Drosophila melanogaster: one gene and its partners. The protein of the gene in region 1 purifies or fractionates together with the protein of each later gene. This does not show direct contact. Each region holds a gene or a part of one and is shown in the gene's direction. Other genes may lie near its edges. The genes, in order: Roc1a, Cul2, Cul4 and TER94.

Region 1 (3,625 bases):
GGGCACTCCCGGAAGCGGCAGTAGCCAGTCAAATGGCCACAATAGCGGGGCGAATGGTTCCACCGGCAGCTCCGTGCACCTCGCGGGCGCTGGCGCCCATCCCAGTAATACCAACAAGCATGGGAAGTCCGGTCCAGCGGGCACAGGCGGGGCCACTGGAGCCCGTAATCGCCGCGCTCTCTTCAAGAAACCAGCACAGAAAACTCCCAAGGTGCAGGCGAGCACCAGGTTCGTGAGAAGCCTTTTCCACAAGGGCAGCTATATACAAATCGGGGATATCGTCAGCATTGTGGACAGCGAGCAGAATCTGTACTACGCCCAGATACGCGGTCTGCTTGTGGACGCCTATTGCGAGAAGTCCGCCTTCCTCACCTGGCTGATTCCCACGCAGGACAGTCCGGATCCCCAGGAGGGCTTCGATCCCCCTACCTACCTAATCGGTATGTCAGTCCTGTCCTCCTGCCTGCTACCCAAAGTTTTTTAAATTGTATTTTTGCTTAACTCCCGTGCCTGCAGGACCCGATGAGGAGCTGTCCCGGAAGCTCTGCTACCTAGAGTTCGTGATGCATGCTCCCAGCAACTACTACTTCGACCGGAGCACCCCGTTTCCCCTGCCGGACGTGGATGAGTACACTGCCCAGAGATCGGGCGGCTACATCTGGACGCGGCTGCCGATAGTCAAGCGGGAAAAGGGCAGTGGCCACAAAGCGGGCGGTGCCTCCTAGCAGAAGAGGTGGCTCAAGGGCAGGATGGCCGGAGCCCTGAATTTGAAAAATCTAATTTATTGCAACTTTTACTCTTCGTAAACGGGCTACTTGCCGAACAGAAAATAATTCAAAAAGTACTTGATGTACTGTAGTACCAACTGAACTCAATCAGCAATTAATGAATAAAATACAATTTTGTAATTATGGATAACGAAGCGTTTCCGACCTATAAAGTATACATGTATAAACATATGTTCTTGATCAGGATCAATAGCCGAGTCGAACTGGCCATGTCCGTCTGACCGTATGAACGCCTCAATCTCAGGAACTATAAAACAGACAGTCGCAGCGCAAGTTTGTTGACCCATGTGGCCCAGTTTAGTGTCGTCCAACGCTACGCGCGCACTTTTGAAAAATGTTTTGATATTTTTAAAATTTTGTTATAAGTCCTGTTTGAATTGCAAAAAACTAATTCCCACGCCCACAAACCGCCCAAAACTGCCACGCATATACTTTTGAAAAATGTTTTGATTTTTCTTCGATTTTACTTTTTTGCAATTTGATCGGTATACCATAAACAAAACATTAAAAATTTTGATTAAGATACCAAAAGGTTATCGACACGAATCGGAATCGTTATTGAATTAGACGAGAAAATAGTGGTGGAGAAACATCGATGTTTCCGATTTGGCGAAAAATATCAAAGTCTTAAACATATTCTTTAAACATGTTGTTCTAAACATCGATGTTTTAAATAAAAACAAAAAAATTATCTGTTTAATTTAAATATTATTTTCTTTTTTAATATTGACTAAATAAAAAAGGCAGTATTTTAACTAAACATAAACTTATTGTCGTCTACGTCTTCATCCCTCCTTATTCAGGAGTTAAAAACTTAAATTTCAGATATTTATCCACGTCTTTCAGGACATCAGCCAACACCACCAGCAAGTCACACTAAATTTGCGATATGTTATTAATAATTCTATTAAAAAATATGGAACTTACAATTTATACTTACAATATATACACATATCTTCTCCGATGTGCAGTAAATACCATCGATACCATCGACGCCATCGATGTTGGCATCGATGTTTCGCCACCTTTACGAGAAAAAGCGGCGGTCACACTGCTTGAGCCTCACTGCGAGTGGTTTTCTATTAAAACGAAAAGGATAGGGACAGAAAAGCCAAAACTACGTTAGTTGTGAAAATTGCATTTGTGTTGCGAGAGTTTTGTCAGGATAAATAGGTGTATTTCCACCATGGAAGTCGACGAGGATGGATACGAGGTTCCCTCCAGCAGCAGCAAGGGCGATAAGAAGCGCTTTGAGGTGAAGAAGGTAAGTGGTCAGCAAAAAAGCAGGGTCATTGTCAATGAATGTACTGATGGTAACACTTCATCCTTTCCGCTTCGCCGAAAACAGTGGAACGCCGTGGCTCTGTGGGCCTGGGGTAAGTAGTAATGCGAATTGTAGTGCTCCGAGTCGGGGGATTAACCGCATTCCATTTCGATGCAGACATCGTGGTGGACAACTGCGCCATCTGCCGCAACCACATCATGGACTTGTGCATCGAGTGTCAGGCGAACCAGGCGTCCGCCACTAGCGAGGAGTGCACCGTGGCCTGGGGCGTCTGCAACCACGCCTTCCATTTCCACTGCATCTCTCGCTGGCTAAAGACGCGCCAGGTATGCCCACTGGACAACCGCGAGTGGGATTTCCAGAAGTACGGCCACTAAAATCTACAAAACCCCCAAGACCCACCAGATGGAGGGAGCAGCACTTCCCGCAAGCTAGATGATGGAGGCCTGCTTCATCTGGACATTTGAATACCTTTTTAGATCTTAAGCTAGTGGGGCGATTCGAGTGAACTGGTAGCCTTTAGGAGCACAGTTACCGATTTCCGAGACTCCCCGGGAAGCGCACCTTTTTGTAACGCGTTAAATAAAAGCTGTAGAAGATGGAGAAGACTAGACGGATGTTTCTACCTTTCACCCTTTGGAGTCTATATTCACTGTGACGATGGCATCTTACCGCGAAATCCACTAGCTAGTCGTGCCTAAATTTTCAGAGTATATAACTCATGACTGGCAAAAAATATGATTGGGTCATTGGGTTCCATAAATGTAGCTCTGCTTAGTTATCCTTGGATGGCATTTGAAGAGGATCTGGCTAGTTCAAACTAGTTTAGTTTTGCTTAACTATATGCGTCATGACCAGCTCCAGATCAGGTTGTTCAGATATATGAAAGTAGTTTCGTAAAAACAAATCAAAATCAGTCGATGCAAAGAAAGAGCTGCGTTTGTAAAAACTAAATGTTCTTTTTAGTTTATTATGAATGTTTTGCGGCCGCGGCAGCTTAGAAAATAATACACATTAGTTACAGATATGAATAAAGTATATGGTATATATCAAATATGATTAATGTTTAATTGCATAAGCTACTAACTAAACTTATAGGTAAACAAAAAATAATTATGTCGTTAAAAAATCATCGAATTTGCTTCGTGTGTGTGTGTGGTTGTGATGGTTTAGTTGTAGTTTTCTATCTGTCGCCTTTTAAAAACCAAATTTCACAGAGAACAAAATAAACAATAAGCTGGCAATAAAACGAAGGGCAGGGAGTGCGAGTTGTTTTGGATTCAGATTCATGTGAATTAAACCAGATTGCATGGTCCGTCGAACCACTTGAACCACCACTTGTATCGAGTTGTATTTAGCGTTTTATTTGAATCTTCTGTTCAATTGTTTTCGCTTGCTTTATAATTAAATTTCCCGCTTTTTGGTTTATATACATTGTTATTGTTATATGTATGTGAAAGTGTAAGCTCCTCCTCCTTTCGGTCTCTTCAACCAGCTCGCTTTGTAGTAATTAACATTAAGTTTGTCTCGTATATCTTGTATATACACCATG
Region 2 (7,329 bases), on another chromosome or scaffold:
TGCACACCGCATTTTTCTGTACGCTTCCGTTATTCCTGCAGAAATCTACTTGCACCCGCTCCTACCCGCGACCAGAAACTCTAACGGTTCTCTGCCGCGCATCAAAAGAATAGAAAAGGCAATTACTAGAAATGTCGTTACATTTAAATGATCTGCGACATATACAAGTTGTCCACGTACATGTTGATATACAAATTCAAAACTCCAATCTCAGCAGCAGATAAATAACCAAACTTAAAGTAAACACCAGTCAGAAAATTTCAATTTCACAATGCTGTGAAATAATTTCAGTATAAAGCTTTTATCCTAAACATATTTGAAGTTCCAGAAAATTCTAAAAAATTTCTAGGTTGAGTGGATTAGGATTTAGATTTAGAAAATCAGTCTAAGTCCGGACGAGATTGTGAACATTTTCAAATTAAGGATAAGATAAGATAAATAAATTTTAAATTTTAATTTACATGTATCTACATATGTTGGCTGTTGTCTATCCCAGTTTCGAAAACAATGCATGTAAAAAGCGTGTAGTCACAGAAAAATTATATCTCCACGAAAACTGTGGATTAAATTGTAATCAAACTTTTTACACAAATAATGAAATTACAACATTTTTAAGATACCGTGCAATTTGAAGTTTATTTAATTTTTTGGAATTCACCTCCAAATAACGATTAAGAAATAAATACAAAACGTCTGCCGTGCTGATGGCTCAGGCTTTCCTCAGGCTGGAGTACCCCCCATGCCACAGCTCTAAACACTAAAGTCGATAACCACCGACGTCTCACAACACTGAAAATGTAAGCAATGTTAAAGCGAACACAAAGACAAAAAATTTAAATGTTTTGAAATGCTTAGAACATCACACCTTTTGGTAAATCGGAGTCCGAATTCTTTAAATAATTCTCGGTATATATATTAATTATTTTTTACATCATTTACATCTCAATCCATTTCTCCATCAGTATATGGTATCACACTTGGATCGACGACTGCTACATTGGATAGGTCAAAGTGAAATGTGTGGATGGCCTTTGGAAGCTACAAAGGCTGGAAATAGTGGTAGGCGATGTGCCAATTTTTGGCGCATATGGAAGGTTGCAAGTATTGATCACCGGCGGCTACGGTGGATGTGGCTCCAATTTATTCTTTGGAGTAAATTTCCGGTTTGGTGGATAAAAAAGTTCCAATCGACTGACAACCAACAGACAACTAAAAAAATTTGGCGCTCAACGATCTTAGCCATTGACAAATATGAGACTTTCTGATTTTTTGAGCTATACATTTTGTAAATTTTTGTTTCTTTAAGCTTAATGGTTTTTTCGTTTGTTTATCTTAGCCTTTATATATTTTCTTAGTAATTAAACATGTATTTATTTTGTATCTATCTCTTTGTATTTGTATTTTTTTGTATGTATCTCTGTTTGCCTTTTCGAAAGCCACATCTAGGCACTTAACAGTTTAGACCTTTAAAACTCGGTCTGTACAAAATGGATCATTCTTCTAGATCATACACTTACCTTTAAGGCATAACCCTTAACTCACTTTTGAAATCTTTTGAAAATGTATATTCTTTTGAACAAAAAGGTTGGCACTCGAGAGCAATAGCAATACGTATAAGCAATCGAAAAAAACGAAAATCATAAAAAATCCTAACATTATTACAGTTCACATATGAAATCAATTTAGGTTTGTGCACTTACAGTTTTTTAAGAAAATGGCTTTGGCCAGTTTTTAGGCAGGAAGGTAAAAAATTTGTTCAGTGGATCGGCGTTGACAATAAATTAAGATCAAAACAAAAGCAAACGTTTCGGTAGTGGAGACACGACATTCTTTTTACATCGAATTTTTTGTCGAGTTCAAATATCGATAGATTATATCGATATCGTCTTCGTCTGACAAACCATTTCACGATACCAAAAAAAAAGTGCAAAAATAACTAAATTCTCGGCGTAATTATTTAGTAAATAGCGTAGCTAAGCAGCAGGTGAGTAGGTCGCAAGCGCGCCCCTCCACGATCCATCAAGCGGTAATTGGCCTGCTGTGCAATTGCTCGAGGACAAGGCCATTTGCCTGGTGGCCCCCACGCAAAAAGTAAGCGATTATGCCAAAAAGCAAAGCAGAAGTGGTCTCTGCCAACGCATGAGGGTCGCTCGGTCGCCCATTGTTATATTTGCGAAGGCAGAATCAGTCGGCGTTCTAATTAGCGTGCACCCTGTCCCATCAGAAAACCCTTCCAAATCCATATCCAGACGGACCACGGATTAGGACTAAGACCCATTTGACATGTCGCTCAAGCCCAAAATAGTGGAGTTTGTCGATGTTTGGCCGCGCCTGCGCTGCATCGCCGAGTCGGTGATAACGCTCACCAAAGTGGAGCGCTCGGTGTGGAATACTAGCTTCAGGTACGTCTTGGCAACGGTCGGAGTATTAAACAGCCTGGAGAGAGATATTGTGATAGGTCACTAGAGACTACAAAGTTACCCAACTCAGAAGAAACACAAATAACACTAACTAACTTTTAAATTAATCCAACATAAGTAATGGTTTCAATCACATTATTTTGCATTTGAGTTGGTAAACTATGAATGTACTAGTACCTAGCGGTTCAACTATATATTTTATTCAACAGCAAAATTCACAAATATAGCTGCTAGCGAGGCGAAAATGATTTGGTAAATGTCGTAGAATCTTGATAAATGCAATCATAGTTTTAATAATAAATGCCTGTTTTCTAGCTTGAATTTAAATATTTTGACCGCTTAAAGGTTAAACTAAGTTCAAGTAAATATTAAATAGATCGATGACGTATCTTTTTAAAATTAATAATCAAAACAGTGTAACGCAGGCTGCTTTTATTCTGACCGCAACTGTTCGTATATATGTGTGAAGCGTGAGTTGCCAAAATAAAATTTCTAAAATAACGAGCACTAATACATCTGTCTTTCCAATCACATTCCTTTAACATATAGCGACGTTTACACACTGTGCGTGGCGCAGCCGGAACCGATGGCTGATCGTCTTTATGGCGAAACAAAACACTTTCTTGAGCAGCACGTCCAGGAGATGCTGGCCAAAAAGGTGCTGATCGAGGGAGAATGCTCCCATTCCAATGGTGGCCCAGACCTTCTCCAGCGTTACTACATCACCTGGATGGAATATAGCCAGGGTATCAAGTATCTGCACCAATTGTACATGTAAGAATGCATCGAAGTCTGTAATAACTCAATGATCGTTGGAATTAATTTCCTTTAGCTACCTGAATCAACAACACATCAAGAAACAAAAGATTACCGATACGGAATCGTTCTACGGTAATCTGTCAAGCGATGCTGCGGAGCAGATGGAGATTGGCGAGCTAGGTCTAGACATTTGGCGCCTGTATATGATTGAGTACTTGTCCAGCGAACTGGTCCGTCACATACTCGAGGGCATTGCCGCAGACAGAGCTAGCAATGGCACCTTGGATCACCATCGCGTGCAAATTATCAACGGAGTGATACACAGCTTCGTGGAGGTACAGGACTATAAGAAAACAGGCTCGCTTAAGCTCTACCAGGAACTCTTTGAAGGCCCCATGCTGGAGGCCAGTGGCGCCTACTACACAGACGAGGCTAACAAGTTGCTCCATCGGTGCTCAGTGTCGGAGTACATGCAGGAGGTTATCCGGATACTGGAATATGAAAGCCGGAGAGCCCAAAAGTTTTTACACGTCAGTTCCCTGCCAAAACTACGTAAAGAGTGCGAGGAGAAGTTTATTAACGATCGTTTGGGCTTCATCTACTCGGAGTGCCGCGAAATGGTTTCAGAGGAGCGGCGCCAAGACTTACGCAACATGTACGTCGTACTAAAGCCCATACCCGATAATCTCAAGTCTGAGCTCATAACCACCTTCCTCGATCACATCAAAAGTGAAGGTCTGCAGACCGTATCTGCGCTGAAGGGCGAAAACATCCATATTGCGTTCGTAGAGAATATGTTGAAGGTACATCACAAGTACCAAGAGCTGATCGCAGACGTCTTCGAAAACGATTCTCTATTCCTGAGCGCATTAGACAAGGCGTGCGCCAGCGTTATCAATCGCCGGCCAACCGAGCGGCAGCCTTGCCGTAGTGCCGAGTATGTGGCGAAATACTGTGATACGCTACTGAAAAAGTCTAAGACCTGCGAGGCAGAGATCGATCAAAAGCTTACTAACAACATAACCATATTTAAATATATCGAGGATAAGGATGTGTATCAAAAGTTTTATAGCCGACTGTTAGCCAAGCGCCTAATCCACGAGCAAAGTCAGAGCATGGATGCGGAGGAGGGAATGATCAATCGTTTGAAGGTGCGTGGTCTGCTAGTCTAAAATGTACTTCACAGTGAATAACTGCAATAATGTGAATTATTTATTTTTAATGCTGTTTTAATTTGTTATGACCCTTTTACAAAACTACATTAGCTTAAATAGATCTTCTTTTATTAATACTTACAGCAAGCCTGCGGTTATGAATTTACCAATAAACTTCATCGCATGTTTACGGATATATCGGTATCAGTAGATCTGAACAACAAGTTTAATACTCACCTTAAGGATAGCAATGTGGACTTAGGTGAGACGGAAAATGTATATTCATTAAAGATAGTTTATTTTTATGTATGTGTATTTCTATGCAGGCATCAACCTTGCCATTAAGGTACTGCAGGCGGGCGCGTGGCCCTTGGGATCTACTCAAGTTATACCATTTGCAGTACCACAGGAATTTGAAAAATCTATTAAAATGGTACGTTTTTCGTAAATGTATATATTTTATTTTAAAACGAGATAGAAGCTGCCTTTGACAAACCAAAGTTATAAAAAATTTTTTTCAGACTTTCTTTATTTAGTCAAATTTTTAAAGAGAGGCCTTTTAACAATATTCAGAAACATATATAAATATTTAAAGCAGCAATAAATACAAATAATATATAATAATAAATACAGAAAAACCTTTATGTAAAAAACTTTCCTTCAAATCGACGACTACATCGTAAGGTGTTCTCTTGAAATGTGTGACATATAGAAAGTTAAAAGTATCTTTATTTCAATAAAGGTACTTTAGCATACCAAATCAAAACGCAACTTCTTTTGGTCCAAATACATCTTAAACCGTGTGACTTTGTCGAAGGTACTTCAGAAATTTTAAATGTATACGTTAATCGTGTACTGTACCTTTGTTATGATTTTTCAGTTCGAGGATTACTATCATAAATTATTTAGTGGCCGGAAGTTGACTTGGCTACATCACATGTGTCATGGAGAATTAAAGTTGAGCCATTTGAAAAAATCTTATATCGTGACTATGCAAACATACCAGATGGCGATAATACTGCTGTTCGAGACTTGTGATAGTCTGAGTTGTCGGGAGATCCAGAACACCTTACAGCTAAACGACGAAACGTTTCAAAAGCACATGCAGCCTATTATCGAGTCAAAGCTTTTAAATGCCAGCTCAGAGAATCTCGCCGGTGAGACTCGAATAGAATTAAATTTGGATTACACAAATAAGCGTACAAAGTTTAAAATAAGTTCGGCTTTGCAAAAAGAAACGCCACAGGAGGTAAGGCATTTCGATTTCAACCTGGTTACCTGGTACCTGGTTTTCTAACGACGTTATTTATGTAGGTTGAGCACACAATTAACTCGGTAGATGAGGACCGAAAACTCTTTCTACAAGCCGCCATTGTAAGGATTATGAAAGCGCGTAAAGTCTTAAAGCACAATGCCTTAATACAAGAGGTAATATCTAAAACACCTGACTGTGAATTAAAATTACATGATGTATTTTTTCTTTAGGTTCTCTCTTTATCGAAGGTTAGCTTTACTCCCAACATAGCAATGATCAAGAAATGCGTGGAGTCATTAATTGACAAACAATATATTGAGCGAACGGCGAACTCGGGCGATGAATATAGCTACATGGCATAGACTGCGGTAGAGATTTTTTATTCTTAAACAAGAACCTTCCCGGACAACAACCTCCCATACACACAACTGACGCTAACCAAGCGGCTTATTTTGTCTAAAAAGAACTACCTACAATGTTAAAAAAAGAAATCAAAAGGTCAAGCAATTTGAGTTTTGTTATTTTTGTGGTCATAGCATATTGGTATGAAAGGTGTGTGGAAATCAAACGACGTTACTGATACTTTTAATTTAGCTTAGTTAGTTGATCCATTTTGATTTAATGCGTGTGTCCTATTCAATTGTAGATATAATATATTTCTTTATGTATTGTATATTTATCTGGTTTTATTAACACACGCACAAACCAGAATAATGTGCTGGAAAATGTATAATAAATCCCAAAAAATGTCTAAAAATATGTCATTCAAAGTATTTCGTATCCTGTGCGTTAACGCTGTACCACTGTACACTTCAAATTTACATAAATGAATGCTGTGCAAAAAGCAGTCAGCATTGCAGTTTAAGTATGCGGATAGAGATCTGTACTTTTTATTTGGTCGTCTCGGAAAAAACTGGATCTATTGTCCGGAATCCCATTCTTATAATTTTTTGATTTTCTAGTACTTTTTAATAACGAATCCGGGTAGAAATAGGCGTACCACCACCTACAAATTGGCATATCGTATATTGAGCTTTGAGTTGTCAAAGTGCCAAAGAAAGTGTAAAAGCAAACATTTTTCGAAACTTTCAAGATTGCTAAGATTCTTAGATTTTGTTTTAAAAGAGCTTTTAAGGACTTTCCCATCTTTTTGTTTTTGCTCACACATTTTATTGGACCTTGGTTTAAAATATAAAATTCCCTTAAATTCTTTTACTAATCTTAGAATGTCGATTTTATTAATTTACAATACCTTGTACGTATGTTCAGTAACCATTTAAGTTTCGCCTTTGCCAAGAAATCCAATATTTGTATATATTAAATACCCAAGGGCCGTGGATTATATTTGTTTTTAGTCATTTTTATTTCTTTTGTGCTACTTTTCTAAAAAATATATATCATAATGGTAAATTAATTAATTTTACAAATATGTATATGTAACTTAATAGTTAATTATAAAAATTATTAACTTCCTATATCAAATAACACTAGTTCATTGAACGGAATAAATAAAAAATACTTTTAAGTCGCTGATAACATTAATTTGTTTTGATAAATTCGGTAGAACATGATTGTAATTTGTTTCGCGATAAAAAAAGCGGTCCCATAAAAATCTTTTTAACGCTTCTGAATCCATGGCCATACCCTGAAAACAACTGCCTTCAACGACTTAAAAGCATTTTGGATGTAATAGCTGTAACTGTAATACAATTCGTTAATAATAATTTTATCTTGTTTTTGA
Region 3 (6,569 bases), on another chromosome or scaffold:
ATATAAATAAGAAAATCCGATTGGTTACCTTCCAGGTGTAGTTTCGAAATTAGTAATTGACGTCGTCTCTCCGCTTCTTCGCAGAATGCTCTTAGGCTTCCTCTGTATGGTGTCTCCCTGAAGTTCTCCAGAAGTTTGTAGTTTGGTGTTTGAATTTTAAATTCCGCGATGAGTCTTGCTTTAAGGGTAGGCCAATCTTCGATGTTCGGAAGTCCCAAAGATCGTGTAATTTGTCCGTCCAAGTTCCTTTCGATGGCTCCCAGTAGAATCCTCTGTTGTCGGACATCATTTGTTTGGTAGAGCGAAATTACGTAATCCACTCTGCTGATAAAGGTGTGAAGGGTTTCTGGATCACCCTTGAATGGCATAATGTCTTTAAGCTGCCGACGGGCTTCGGCAAGGTTTATGTCGCTCAGCGCAATAATTGGTTGTGACATTTTTATTGTAAAATTTTTAACTTTTGTGTTTTATTTTTTTGTTTTGTTTCGGATTCAATGTTATTATTATTTTTAAGCTTTCTAGTTTCACTTGTTTGTTTTTTTTTGTTTTGTAAATTTTTGTGTTGTATTATTAAAATTCTATATTGTTTTAATTTTTTATTTTTATATGTTGGTTTTAAAACTTAGTTGCCTTTGGACTTAATATTTTTGTTTCGTATTTCACTTCCACTTATTATTGGATAACCGAATTGGAATTATAATCCAAGTTGAAGAGTTTTCACGAATTTATTTTGGGAGATGTTTCGAGCACTGGACTATAAAATTTAACTTATTTTCCACTCGAAGGTTCTTTTTTTTTCGGATACTTTTGTATCCTACCGACTGCGCCAGTAAAATTGTTGTTTTATTTATGAGTCGAACTAATGTCCCGTCAGTTGACTAAGGACAACGCCAAGAAATAAAAAATAGTTTTTAGGAGAAATAGTTTCACGACTTTATTCTTTGGATCTCAGCTTAAGACTAAAAATCAAATGCAAATTGGATTGAGGAGAAGCCTCAGTATTTGAACAATATTTGTATTTCGGGAGAGCCTCGCTCTTGGGTTCTTAAGATTAGGTAGCGTTGAAAGAGGGCAGTCAAATCTGCTTAGGTCAGGCTTTAGGATGTTTACAAGAACGGCTGCGCTGCCAAAGATAAACGAATGCTGCGCAGCTGGGATACGTTATGGAAAATTACTAGAGTGCATTACTGATTTCTTTGAAATAATGGAAGTGGCTGGTTTGGACCACCCAAATACGTCACTATATATTAGTGGGATGGACGCAGTTTTAATAGGCAATTTAATATGCGTTTTTTTATGAGGTAGTTATATTATATTTCTTGCCTAACTTCGTCGTTATTAAAAAAGGTAACTAGGATAGAATAGCATTTAATGAATCGTCTAATGCTATGTCTTCATCTGTGGGTCTCGTCGGAGGAGTCGGCTCCACTCGCAACTGCTCCATTTTCGTGTAGAACTTTGGGCACTTTTGAAGAACCTTGGAGTATTCCGTGAATATTTGAAAGGACGCCCTTTGGAGCAGCGTTTCTCCCATATGATTGGAGGCCAGTATTTTTGCCAAGTTCTTGTAGTCCCGCTGCATAAGGCAATCCCGGGCCAGTCGTAGTTTCTCGTACGCAGTGGATCGTCGAACGCTGAAGTAAAACTCGTTACTGGCCGGAGGAGCACAGGATGGGTTTTGGTTCACCCAAAAGCCATCTTCGGGACTGGTGGCGATCTCAAGCGTGCGTTTCAAAACATTTGCGGGTATCCTTCTGGCTGGAAAATTCTCACCCTTTATTTTACGCGGTGCAGTTTTCAAAGGCGATGGCTTCTCATCTTTTGTTTTCATTTTATATGGCGAAAGCGAACATAAATGCGTCGCGAACACAATGCGTCGTGCTAACAGTGATAGGCAATGTTAACCTGTTTCACACCAATATCGATAGGCAGTGCTGCCCGCTGAGCTATCGATTACCCGCAGCCAATCGATGTTTTGATTCGTCCGATATCCCAAAAAGCAATATTTTCCGCATGCAACCAAAAGCGAAATAATAAAATGTTGCCTGTGTAATTGTACTTCCGAAGTTTTGTCGATTTGAATAGTCTCTCAGGCGTCGAAGGAACCCCATTTGTCCAAAAGGACGCCGTTTGTCGGAGAAATCTACTTCGCAGCCGGAAAATTCACAGGAAGTCTATTTGCCTTGAGTTCGCAAGTTGCCAATTTCTTGACGACCCCAGTGCAAAAGTCGCAAAAATATTACGAATATTTGCTGGTAATCATTTCAAGGGTACGTATCGAAATACAAACTGCAATCCCTTCCCTTAAAGGAAAAGCCAGCAATCAATAACCGATCTCCACGCCCAGGACTAAGCAAAGCCGGTGCGACGAAAGCAGGGCAGGATCAGGAGAGCAGGAGCGGAGTGGAGATCCTGCTGGCAGCAGGGGCCCTAAGCTATGAGTGCGGCCAAGAAGTACAAGCCCATGGACACAACTGAGCTGCACGAGAACACAGAGAATATTGCCGCCTGCCTGAAGAAGGCCGAGAACGTCGCCCCCACCGCTGCTGCCGCCTCGAGCGTGGGCCGCAGTGCCTTCGCTGCCCAAAACATGAATTCTGCGTCCACCAACGGCGAGCGCCTGCCAAACTTCTCCAAGCTAGGCGGCAGCCATGGCGAGATCCGCACGGCTTCAACTACCTCAAATCTCCTCAATCGCATGGGGGCTATTCACAACAGCAAGCCTGGCGATGTCAAGAAGATAGTGATTAAGAACTTTAAGGGTAGGTCCCGTCTAGATCTCAACTGTTTGTATACTGCATGATTCAACTTCCTTCCTTCCTTCCTTAGATAAGCCTACACTGCCCGATAACTATTCCAAGGACACGTACGTGAAGCTTGAAGAAGCCGTTATCGCCATCCAACTCTCCAAGCCCATTAAATATTCGCTGGAGGAGCTCTACCAGGCGGTGGTGAACATGTGTAGCCACAAGATGGATGCACAATTATACGCGAAACTCAAGGAGCTAACAGAGCAACACGTAAAGCGCAATATTAAGCTCAAGGAGCTCACCGGCGGTAGCATGGACAAACTGGTAAGTTGCTGTTTAAGGAGCACATTTAAAGGTTTACTCGTCAACTTTTATTGTCTTTTAGATTTTGCTGGAAAAGATCAACCACTGGTGGCTCTCGTTCTGCCAACAAATGATCATGATTCGCAGCATATTCTTGTATATGGATCGAACTTATGTGCTGCAAAATTCGACCGTTCACTCGATTTGGGACATGGGGCTGGACCTTTTTCGCATCCATTTTGCTCAAAACAGCGTTGTCCAAAAGCGAACCGTCGACGGTTTACTAACGCTTATTGAAAAAGAACGACAAGGCTCCACCGTGGACCGTGGTTTGCTGAAGAGCTTGGTTCGCATGTTATGCGACCTGCAGATCTACACCAGCTCCTTTGAGGAGAAGTTCCTCGACGCAACCAATCAATTGTATAAGGCTGAGAGTCAACGCAAGATGCAAGAACTGGAAGTTCCCGAGTACTTACAACACGTCAACAAGCGTTTGGCCGAGGAGAACGAGCGTTTGCGTCACTATCTGGACTCGAGCACCAAGTATGCTGGCGAAGTCAATAATAAAAACAATTATTAATGCGTTTTTTACAGACATCCACTGATTTACAATGTGGAAAAAGAGTTACTTGCCGAACACCTAACGTCAATATTGCAGAAGGGCTTGGATTCATTGTTGGAAGACAACAGACTGAGTGACCTTACACTGTTGTACGGGCTGCTTAGTCGAGTCAAAAATGGAACATCCGAGCTGTGCGGCAATTTCAACGGTTTCATTAAGGTATGGATATGTTAAGTAGTATAAATTTATTTAAAGATACCTTTGTTTTAACTGCAGTAAAACATATTAATAGATCGCGCTAATATACTTACTTTCAGAAAAAGGGACGCACCATTGTCATCGATCCCGAGAAGGATAAGAGCATGGTCCAAGATTTGCTCGATTTCAAGGACAAAATGGATGTGATAGTTCGCACCTGCTTTGAGCACAATGAGAAATTCACAAACTCGTTGCGCGAGGCCTTTGAGTTCTTTATCAACCAACGTGCCAACAAGCCGGCCGAGCTTATTGGTAAGCGCCCACTGTCACTATATTTAAACGAGTTTGCTAAAGTTTATTCTTCCATTAGCTAAATACGTAGATATGAAACTGCGATCTGGCAACAAGGGAACCACAGATGAGGAGTTGGAAAAGACTCTAGATAAAATCATGGTTCTGTTTCGTTTTATACATGGCAAAGATGTATTTGAAGCGTTTTACAAAAAGGTTGTGTCCATCTATTGTATGTCGAGCATTATTTAATAACGAATACCATCTTAGGACTTGGCCAAACGATTACTTGTGGGCAAATCGGCATCAGTGGATTCCGAAAAGAGTATGCTCTCCAAGCTTAAGCAGGAGTGCGGTGGAGGGTTTACGTCCAAGCTGGAGGGCATGTTTAAGGACATGGAACTGAGCCGAGATATCAACATTGCGTTCCGCGGACACGCGTTAAGCAACAACCGCGATGTCCACAACTTGGACTTGTGCGTCAGCATTCTTACCATGGGCTACTGGCCTACATATGCACCTACAGAGGTCACAATGCCGCCACAGTTCATCAATCCTCAGCAGATTTTCAACAAATTTTATCTGGAAAAGCATAGTGGGCGGAAGTTGCAGTGGCAGCCTACATTAGGAAATTGTATGCTGCGTGCTCAATTCGATGCGGTAACTACTAATGGCTCCTACTATGTTCTATGCGATTGCAATGTTTACGTATGTTTCACAGGGACCGAAAGAATTGTTGGTCTCGCTGTTTCAAGCGCTTGTGCTTCTATTGTTTAACGATAAGCCAGTTCTGAGCTACGAGGAGATATTGGCCGCCACCCTCATCGAGGATGGAGAGTTGCGTCGAACACTTCAGTCCCTGGCTTGTGGGCGCGCCCGCGTCATAACAAAAACACCGAAAGGCCGCGAAATCTTGGATGGCGATCAGTTTGATTTTAACAATGAGTTCACAAACAAATTGTTTAGAATCAAGATCAACCAAATACAGATGAAGGAGACAGTAAGTGGCTTTAGTTTTGATGTAATTTGCACACACTTAATCTTTCCCCTTTTCCATTAGAATGAGGAGCAAAAGGCGACGGAGGAGCGTGTGTTTCAGGATCGTCAGTATCAAATTGATGCGGCTATTGTGCGCATTATGAAAATGCGAAAAACGCTGAGCCATAATCTTCTCATCACCGAGCTGTTCAACCAGCTTACCTTCCCTGTCAAGGTCCGTATACTAATCCTATTTGTTCTAAGTAGAAAGAAGCTAATATGTTCGTTGGTATTCCAGCCCGCTGACCTAAAGAAGCGAATCGAGTCGCTCATCGACCGCGACTACATGGAGCGAGACAAGGATAATCAAAACCAATACAACTATGTGGCATAAATGGCCACAGATTCTGTGAAATCCGAACACCGATTCGATTGTAATTCGCTCTATACCATACACATACATACTAGCAGTCTAATGAAGTTTTTGGAGTGCCCTCGTCCGATCGGCGATGTTCAGAGTTTTTCAGCTGTAATTTCGTTTCTATAACTAAATCGTTGAACAATCCGCCAGCTAATAGTGTAGCGACAGTTCTTTTTGTAAGTTACCTTATCATACAATAAATTAAGCGTTTATTTTACAAGCCGAGTCCTTTGAAATAGGTCATCGCCCTCGGAACGTCGATGCCTCCAGCAATTTAAAAAAGTTTTCGAACCGAAAGCAAACTAGGTGTTCAATAAACTTATTTATTGGACTTATTCTAATTTGTTTACTTTTAATTGATAATTCTCCTTCAATTAACAATAGAAGTGACATTTGCAGGCTAATTTTCTAAAGGAAACATTAAAATAATTATAACTCGTACTAGTAGCTCTGTATGCAAAAAAGAGATACGCATAACTTAATAGTTTTTTATTTACCATAAATAAAAAATTACTTGAAAATATAATGCACTTCGTGTTTCATTTGTAAAATATTACCAGCATTACTGCTTCAAAAAATCAGCGTCGAGCCCTTTGTTAAGCAGTTAGCAAAGGAATATAGTATATATACAGTTACAGATAAAATTGGGAAATTAGGTAGATTATATACAGATCAGAAATAAATATTGCTATCGCTTTCGCGTGCAGGGGTCATATTAAAAATGACATTGAGGCTGGTTTAGGTATCACAAATTGCCTTGCTGTTATCCTCCTGTCATTCTTTCGTATGCAAATCAAAGCTGCCAACTTGAAAAGTTCTTAGTGGCTTTTGTAGATATATTACAAAAATATTTGTAGTGTCTCCCGACAATAATACCATTTACGCCTCAACACTGTTGACGCTGTATTGTGAGCTGTCGTACTCGGACACGCTGTCGGAGCCGTAGCCCCCAAATGCTGCCGCCGAAGGTCGCACACTGCTGGTCCTTATCCCATTATCTTTCAGCACATCGGGCACGTAGATGGGTGCCGGACCGGCAATTTCCACAATGCTTGGGCGGCGCGTG
Region 4 (5,729 bases), on another chromosome or scaffold:
CCCATAATTGTGACTTTGGGTCTGAGGCGGTTCCGCTGCCCTGCCCCCCGCTCTTCGCTGCTTCCTGCGCCGCGGAAGGCGACGGCCATCTTTATCAGCCACCCCGACTCCCCACTCCTCTTCATCGTCACCCTCATCGTCACAAAAACTGGTTTCCGCTCGCCACTTTCTTTTGCTCTCTGCGCAGGCGCTCTTCGAAGACAAGAGACTTGCAGGCGATTGGTTGAATTCGTTCTGCGTTTCTATGGAGTTTGCTCCCATTCTTTTGGGGGCAGCGACCACGCCCAATGACGCTGCTCTCCTCTCTGCCGACGTCGCTGTCACTCTCTTAAGTACTAAAAAATAAAACTGAAAGTAAAGCTAAATAAAACGCTGCCATAATTGGCATCGTTAATGCCAAAACCATGAATACTAAAAAGTTTTTACGAGCATAAGCTGCGATTGAGCAGTTATTGTAGGGACAGGTTGATGGCCGAGTGTTCTAGGGAAATGAATGAATGAAGATTTTTTCTTACTACCAAAACTTCTACAACTAAGTGAAATAGACGGATTGAGTTCTACATACTTCCTACATATATTTTAGATATAGACATAGCCGAAAAGTATGCTGCACTTTTTCAATAAAAACGTAAGCAGCTACGTTATCACGCATGGCTTCATAGCAGCGATCATCTGCCAGCGAGCATAGCCAAGTTAGGCACCTGCACACATTGCCACTCTTTCCTTTAGCGTTGCCACTTCAATTTCTTTTACAAACCATCGCAGCGTGTAATCGATATTTTCTAAGCCCAATCGATGAATGTCCGGTAACGCACATCACCAATCTGTTTCTGCTGCCTCATCTTTGAATTTGACTAAAAGTGCCGATTTCCAGCTCAACGAATAGTCCAAGTCGCGCCGAATTGTACAATTAAGTTAAAAAGTTCAACGTCAACTAGTTTATCATGGCAGATTCCAAGGGGTAAGTGAACTGGACGCCGAAATAGGCGCCGACTGTGTCGGTCCAAGTCGAAATTCACAAATTTCGCTCAGTCATTGAGCCGAAAAAAATACGCAAGGGCCACATCGCAGACATACTATTATTTAATTGTGAAAGGCTTTCGCCGATTTCCGCGAGACAAAGACATTTACCGCGACTTTTCCACTGCTCGGTTGCAAAATGTTGCGAAACTAGGGCAAACCTAAAAACCGAAGAAAAAAAAACGCCAGCGAGAATCGCCATTTGCAGTACGTTGTTGTTGTTGTTGGTGTTACTGCCCTTGCAGTTGTTGTTGCCGCTTGAAAACTTACGATTTCCCTTTGTTGTCCCAAAAATACAAGTCATCCTTTGCTGGAGGATACAATTTTCCGGTTGTTGTAGTTATAACTTTGGATACGAAAAACAATACTGCATACATATATGGCAGCTATTTCTATAATAAATCGCGAAAATCCTAAACTATATGCCGAAACCACTTATTTCAATGCTACCTATTAGTAATACCTTTTTTGATATTGCATTAATTCTAGAAAAGTCTTTGTGCTCCCTCAACTCGCCAGAAGTAAAAAAAAACATATCGTTTAAGTAACAATAAATGCATAATTTACCTCAAAGTTTAGAAATTATTATAACAAATGGCGCCAAAAAAGTTGGCATCGAATACAAGAAATACAAACATACTTTTATAACTAAAGACAATAAACAATTGTACTATTATTCCGATTAATATAGATTTTTATGAACGATATAGGGTGATAACCTTTTATGTTCAAAAATCTATCAATAAAGATTGATCGACATCATCACGTTAGCAACGAAAAATGATTCGGCAGGCCTAATTATCCAGATGCTTAGTTCCATTCCGTATTACTAGTGAAAGTAGTTTCCATAAATTTATCAAAACTAACAAAAAAGGCAATCCAAAAAAACAAAAAAAAAAACAAAAAAAACAATGTCTGGCGGCAAGAACGATAAGATGGATCATGATGGGGATACGAGGGACTTTATGCGGGGATATCACAGCGAGCAGGATGAGAAAATGAAGCCGAAAGACTCGTTCGATAAGCGGTTAGGCCAAATTATATATAAGACATAAGATATTTCTTTAGCGACGAGTCTTACGCGATGCTTTTTTCTTCTACCCTACAGTGAAGATCTGGCTACGGCGATCCTGAAGCGCAAGGACCGTCCCAACCGACTGATTGTGGAAGAGGCGCAGAATGACGACAACTCTGTGGTGTCGCTATCGCAGGTAAGATTCACTCTCCCAAAGGCCACGTCATCGCATGGCTAATTCACATGACTTGGCTGTTCTTTTTCCCCCTTAAACTATATCAGGCGAAGATGGATGAGCTGCAGCTCTTCCGTGGCGACACCGTGATTCTGAAGGGCAAGCGCCGAAAGGAGACGGTGTGCATCGTGCTCTCGGACGACACCTGTCCCGACGAGAAGATCCGCATGAACCGCGTGGTGCGCAACAACCTGTGCGTCCATCTTTCAGATGTGGTTTCCGTGCAGTCCTGCCCGGACGTCAAGTACGGCAAACGGGTGCGCATCCTGCCCATCGACGAAAGCACCGAAGGCGTTACCGGCAACCTGTTCGAGATCTATCTGAAGCCGTACTTCCTAGAGGCCTATCGGCCAATCCACATGGGCGACAACTTTATTGTGCGCGCCGCCATGCGTCCTATTGAGTTCAAGGTGGTGCTGACCGACCCGGAGCCCTACTGCATCGTAGCTCCCGAGACGGTAATCTTCTGCGACGGTGATCCAATTAAGCGCGAGGAGGAGGAGGAGTCCCTAAACGCCGTTGGCTACGATGATATCGGTGGTTGCCGCAAGCAGCTGGCCCAGATCAAGGAGATGGTTGAGTTGCCTTTGCGGCATCCATCGCTCTTCAAGGCCATTGGTGTGAAGCCACCGCGTGGTATTCTTATGTACGGTCCCCCGGGTACCGGTAAGACCCTGATTGCCAGGGCTGTGGCCAACGAGACCGGAGCCTTTTTCTTCCTGATTAACGGACCGGAGATCATGTCCAAACTGGCCGGAGAGTCGGAATCGAATCTGCGCAAGGCCTTCGAGGAAGCCGAGAAAAACTCGCCGGCTATCATCTTCATCGATGAGATCGACGCTATTGCCCCCAAGCGTGACAAGACCCACGGTGAGGTGGAGCGTCGCATTGTGTCGCAGCTTTTGACCCTGATGGATGGCATGAAGAAGAGCTCCCATCTGATCGTTATGGCTGCTACCAACAGGCCCAACTCCATTGACCCGGCCCTGCGTCGCTTTGGACGTTTTGATCGTGAGATTGACATCGGCATTCCAGATGCCACTGGACGGCTGGAGGTGCTGCGCATTCACACCAAGAACATGAAGCTGCATGATGATGTTGACCTGGAGCAGATTGCTGCCGAATCCCACGGACATGTGGGCGCTGATCTGGCTTCACTCTGCTCTGAGGCTGCCCTTCAGCAAATCCGTGAGAAGATGGACCTCATCGATTTGGAAGACGATAAGATCGATGCCGAGGTGCTGGCGTCGCTGGCCGTGACAATGGAGAACTTCCGCTACGCTATGACCAAGTCCAGTCCATCGGCGCTGCGTGAAACTGTTGTTGAGGTGCCCAACACCACCTGGACAGACATCGGAGGTCTGGAGAGCGTCAAGAAGGAATTGCAGGAGCTGGTGCAATACCCAGTGGAGCATCCGGACAAGTTCTTGAAGTTTGGCATGCAGCCCAGTCGCGGTGTCCTTTTCTACGGACCCCCTGGTTGCGGTAAGACGCTGCTGGCCAAGGCCATTGCCAACGAGTGCCAGGCGAACTTCATCTCAGTCAAGGGTCCCGAACTGCTGACCATGTGGTTCGGCGAGTCTGAGGCCAACGTGCGCGACATCTTCGATAAGGCCCGCTCGGCGGCTCCTTGTGTGCTCTTCTTCGACGAGCTGGACTCGATCGCCAAAGCCCGTGGCGGTAATGTCGGCGATGCTGGCGGCGCCGCTGATCGTGTGATCAATCAGATCCTTACCGAAATGGATGGCATGGGAGCCAAGAAGAATGTGTTCATCATCGGAGCCACCAATCGCCCGGACATTATCGATCCGGCCATCCTCCGTCCGGGCCGTCTGGATCAGTTGATCTATATTCCGCTGCCCGACGACAAATCGCGTGAGGCTATCCTGAAGGCTAACTTGCGCAAGTCGCCGCTGGCCAAGGAAGTAGACCTTACCTACATCGCCAAGGTGACGCAGGGCTTCTCTGGCGCCGATCTGACCGAGATCTGCCAGCGGGCTTGCAAGCTGGCCATCCGACAGGCCATCGAGGCTGAAATTCGTCGCGAGAAGGAGCGCGCCGAAAATCAGAACTCCGCGATGGACGTAAGTCATTTAGCTTAGCGCAAAAAATAAGAATGTTTATGTTTGACTATTTACCCATATAATCAGATGGACGAGGACGATCCAGTGCCGGAGATTACTAGCGCCCACTTCGAGGAGGCCATGAAGTTCGCTCGCCGTTCGGTGTCCGATAATGACATCAGGAAGTACGAGATGTTTGCCCAGACTTTGCAGCAGTCCCGTGGATTCGGACAGAACTTCAGGTGAGAATTGAAAGGCATTTCTTGTTGGAATCCAGGTTACTGATGATAGTGTATATGTTATTGCAGATTCCCCGGTCAAACCGGCAACACCTCAGGATCTGGTAACAACTTGCCAGTTAACTCGCCCGGCGACAACGGCGACGATGATCTTTACAGTTAGATTTCTAGTTTTACACCGCAAAACAAAACCACAAAATGGAACTTTTTAAATGAATTTTTTCCGTAAAACCGAGCAAGCAAAACCAATCACATTCGCATCCTGGACGCGGTAACTTACTACAGCAACCATTGGCTAAGACATCCAGCCGATGGCGAAATCAGATGACATACCCGATTCAATATTCACTTCTTTGATACCATCCTTACTCTTGGTCGCGGATACGTGCAGTAGGAGAAGGTTCCCATTTGGATTTGGGCTCGCCTAATCCGAAACCATTTTAATTGGCGAACTATTCCGCGCCTCACACTAATCATTCGTGCATTGTCGGTAGAGTGGCTCCGATATATGAGTTTCTATAAACATAATTATTAACGATACACATACACACATACATTTAAAGATAAATACATATATTAAACACCGTAAAATTATAAGTGTATTTGGAGCTACATTTTTAAGTGAATAAAAATTATAAATTCAACAAAATCATGTGCTTTAAATTGAAGAAATATTGAAAAATAGACGCAACGAGGTAATTGGGTGTTGAGATTAAAGAGCAAGAGTTACATAATCAATTATTTATTTTTGATAAGGTTCACTAGCAAAGTGGAACGTTGCTTTATTTTAACTGATCATTGGCCACAGTGCAATAAAATGCGTAATAAATTAAATTGGTCGGTACTCGTATGAGTGCAGTGAAAAAATATGTCTTCGTGCCTCGATTTCTGCAAGTCCAATTTAGTCATCAAGAGTACTAACCAAATCCATACTGTTCCCATTTGAAAATATCATTTCATTTGTTTTATCGCATTTATTAAACTTGTATTAATTCGTCATGTTTGCTTTTTCTGGTTTTCAATTGTTTTTTCACTTTTATTTTTATTAATTCTTTGCGACATAACAAGGACATCTTAATATGAAGTTAGTTGAATTCTTTCATATTTAAATAATCATTATCGCTTCGGTCTTATAAATAAACTTTCTTTGCCATTCT

The links.
Region 2: the proteins of Roc1a (region 1) and Cul2 purify together in Drosophila melanogaster (affinity purification with western blotting; 2 studies listed by BioGRID, with this or other methods). This does not show direct contact.
Region 3: the proteins of Roc1a (region 1) and Cul4 purify together in Drosophila melanogaster (affinity purification with western blotting, with the first as the bait; one study listed by BioGRID). This does not show direct contact.
Region 4: the proteins of Roc1a (region 1) and TER94 purify together in Drosophila melanogaster (affinity purification with western blotting, with the first as the bait; one study listed by BioGRID). This does not show direct contact.

Annotation. Positions count from the first base shown.
Region 1 is NC_004354.4:645,474-649,098, forward strand, and holds Roc1a (regulator of cullins 1a), read left to right. Parts: upstream 1-1,830; 5' UTR 1,831-1,974; coding exon 1,975-2,164; intron 2,165-2,229; coding exon 2,230-2,450; 3' UTR 2,451-3,124; downstream 3,125-3,625. Other genes in the region: CG13367 (uncharacterized protein), read left to right, coding at 1-440, 517-725. UniProt on the Drosophila melanogaster protein: Core component of multiple SCF (SKP1-CUL1-F-box protein) E3 ubiquitin-protein ligase complexes which mediate the ubiquitination of proteins involved in cell cycle progression, signal transduction and transcription.
Region 2 is NT_033779.5:21,656,871-21,664,199, forward strand, and holds Cul2 (cullin 2), read left to right. Parts: upstream 1-1,864; 5' UTR 1,865-2,091; intron 2,092-2,224; 5' UTR 2,225-2,283; coding exon 2,284-2,402; intron 2,403-2,969; coding exon 2,970-3,194; intron 3,195-3,252; coding exon 3,253-4,330; intron 4,331-4,477; coding exon 4,478-4,595; intron 4,596-4,659; coding exon 4,660-4,766; intron 4,767-5,213; coding exon 5,214-5,582; intron 5,583-5,647; coding exon 5,648-5,761; intron 5,762-5,818; coding exon 5,819-5,950; 3' UTR 5,951-6,828; downstream 6,829-7,329.
Region 3 is NT_033778.4:8,101,718-8,108,286, reverse strand, and holds Cul4 (cullin 4), read left to right. Parts: upstream 1-1,968; 5' UTR 1,969-2,270; intron 2,271-2,347; 5' UTR 2,348-2,437; coding exon 2,438-2,762; intron 2,763-2,829; coding exon 2,830-3,074; intron 3,075-3,135; coding exon 3,136-3,596; intron 3,597-3,647; coding exon 3,648-3,834; intron 3,835-3,932; coding exon 3,933-4,125; intron 4,126-4,183; coding exon 4,184-4,320; intron 4,321-4,374; coding exon 4,375-4,764; intron 4,765-4,825; coding exon 4,826-5,104; intron 5,105-5,164; coding exon 5,165-5,317; intron 5,318-5,380; coding exon 5,381-5,476; 3' UTR 5,477-5,679; exon of another isoform or gene 5,680-5,742; 3' UTR 5,743-6,027; downstream 6,028-6,569. Other genes in the region: udd (under-developed), read right to left, coding at 1,352-1,831; Tmem63 (transmembrane protein 63), read right to left, coding at 6,383-6,569.
Region 4 is NT_033778.4:9,988,343-9,994,071, forward strand, and holds TER94 (transitional endoplasmic reticulum 94), read left to right. Parts: upstream 1-1,860; 5' UTR 1,861-1,955; coding exon 1,956-2,047; intron 2,048-2,128; coding exon 2,129-2,231; intron 2,232-2,317; coding exon 2,318-4,354; intron 4,355-4,420; coding exon 4,421-4,575; intron 4,576-4,641; coding exon 4,642-4,735; 3' UTR 4,736-5,217; downstream 5,218-5,729.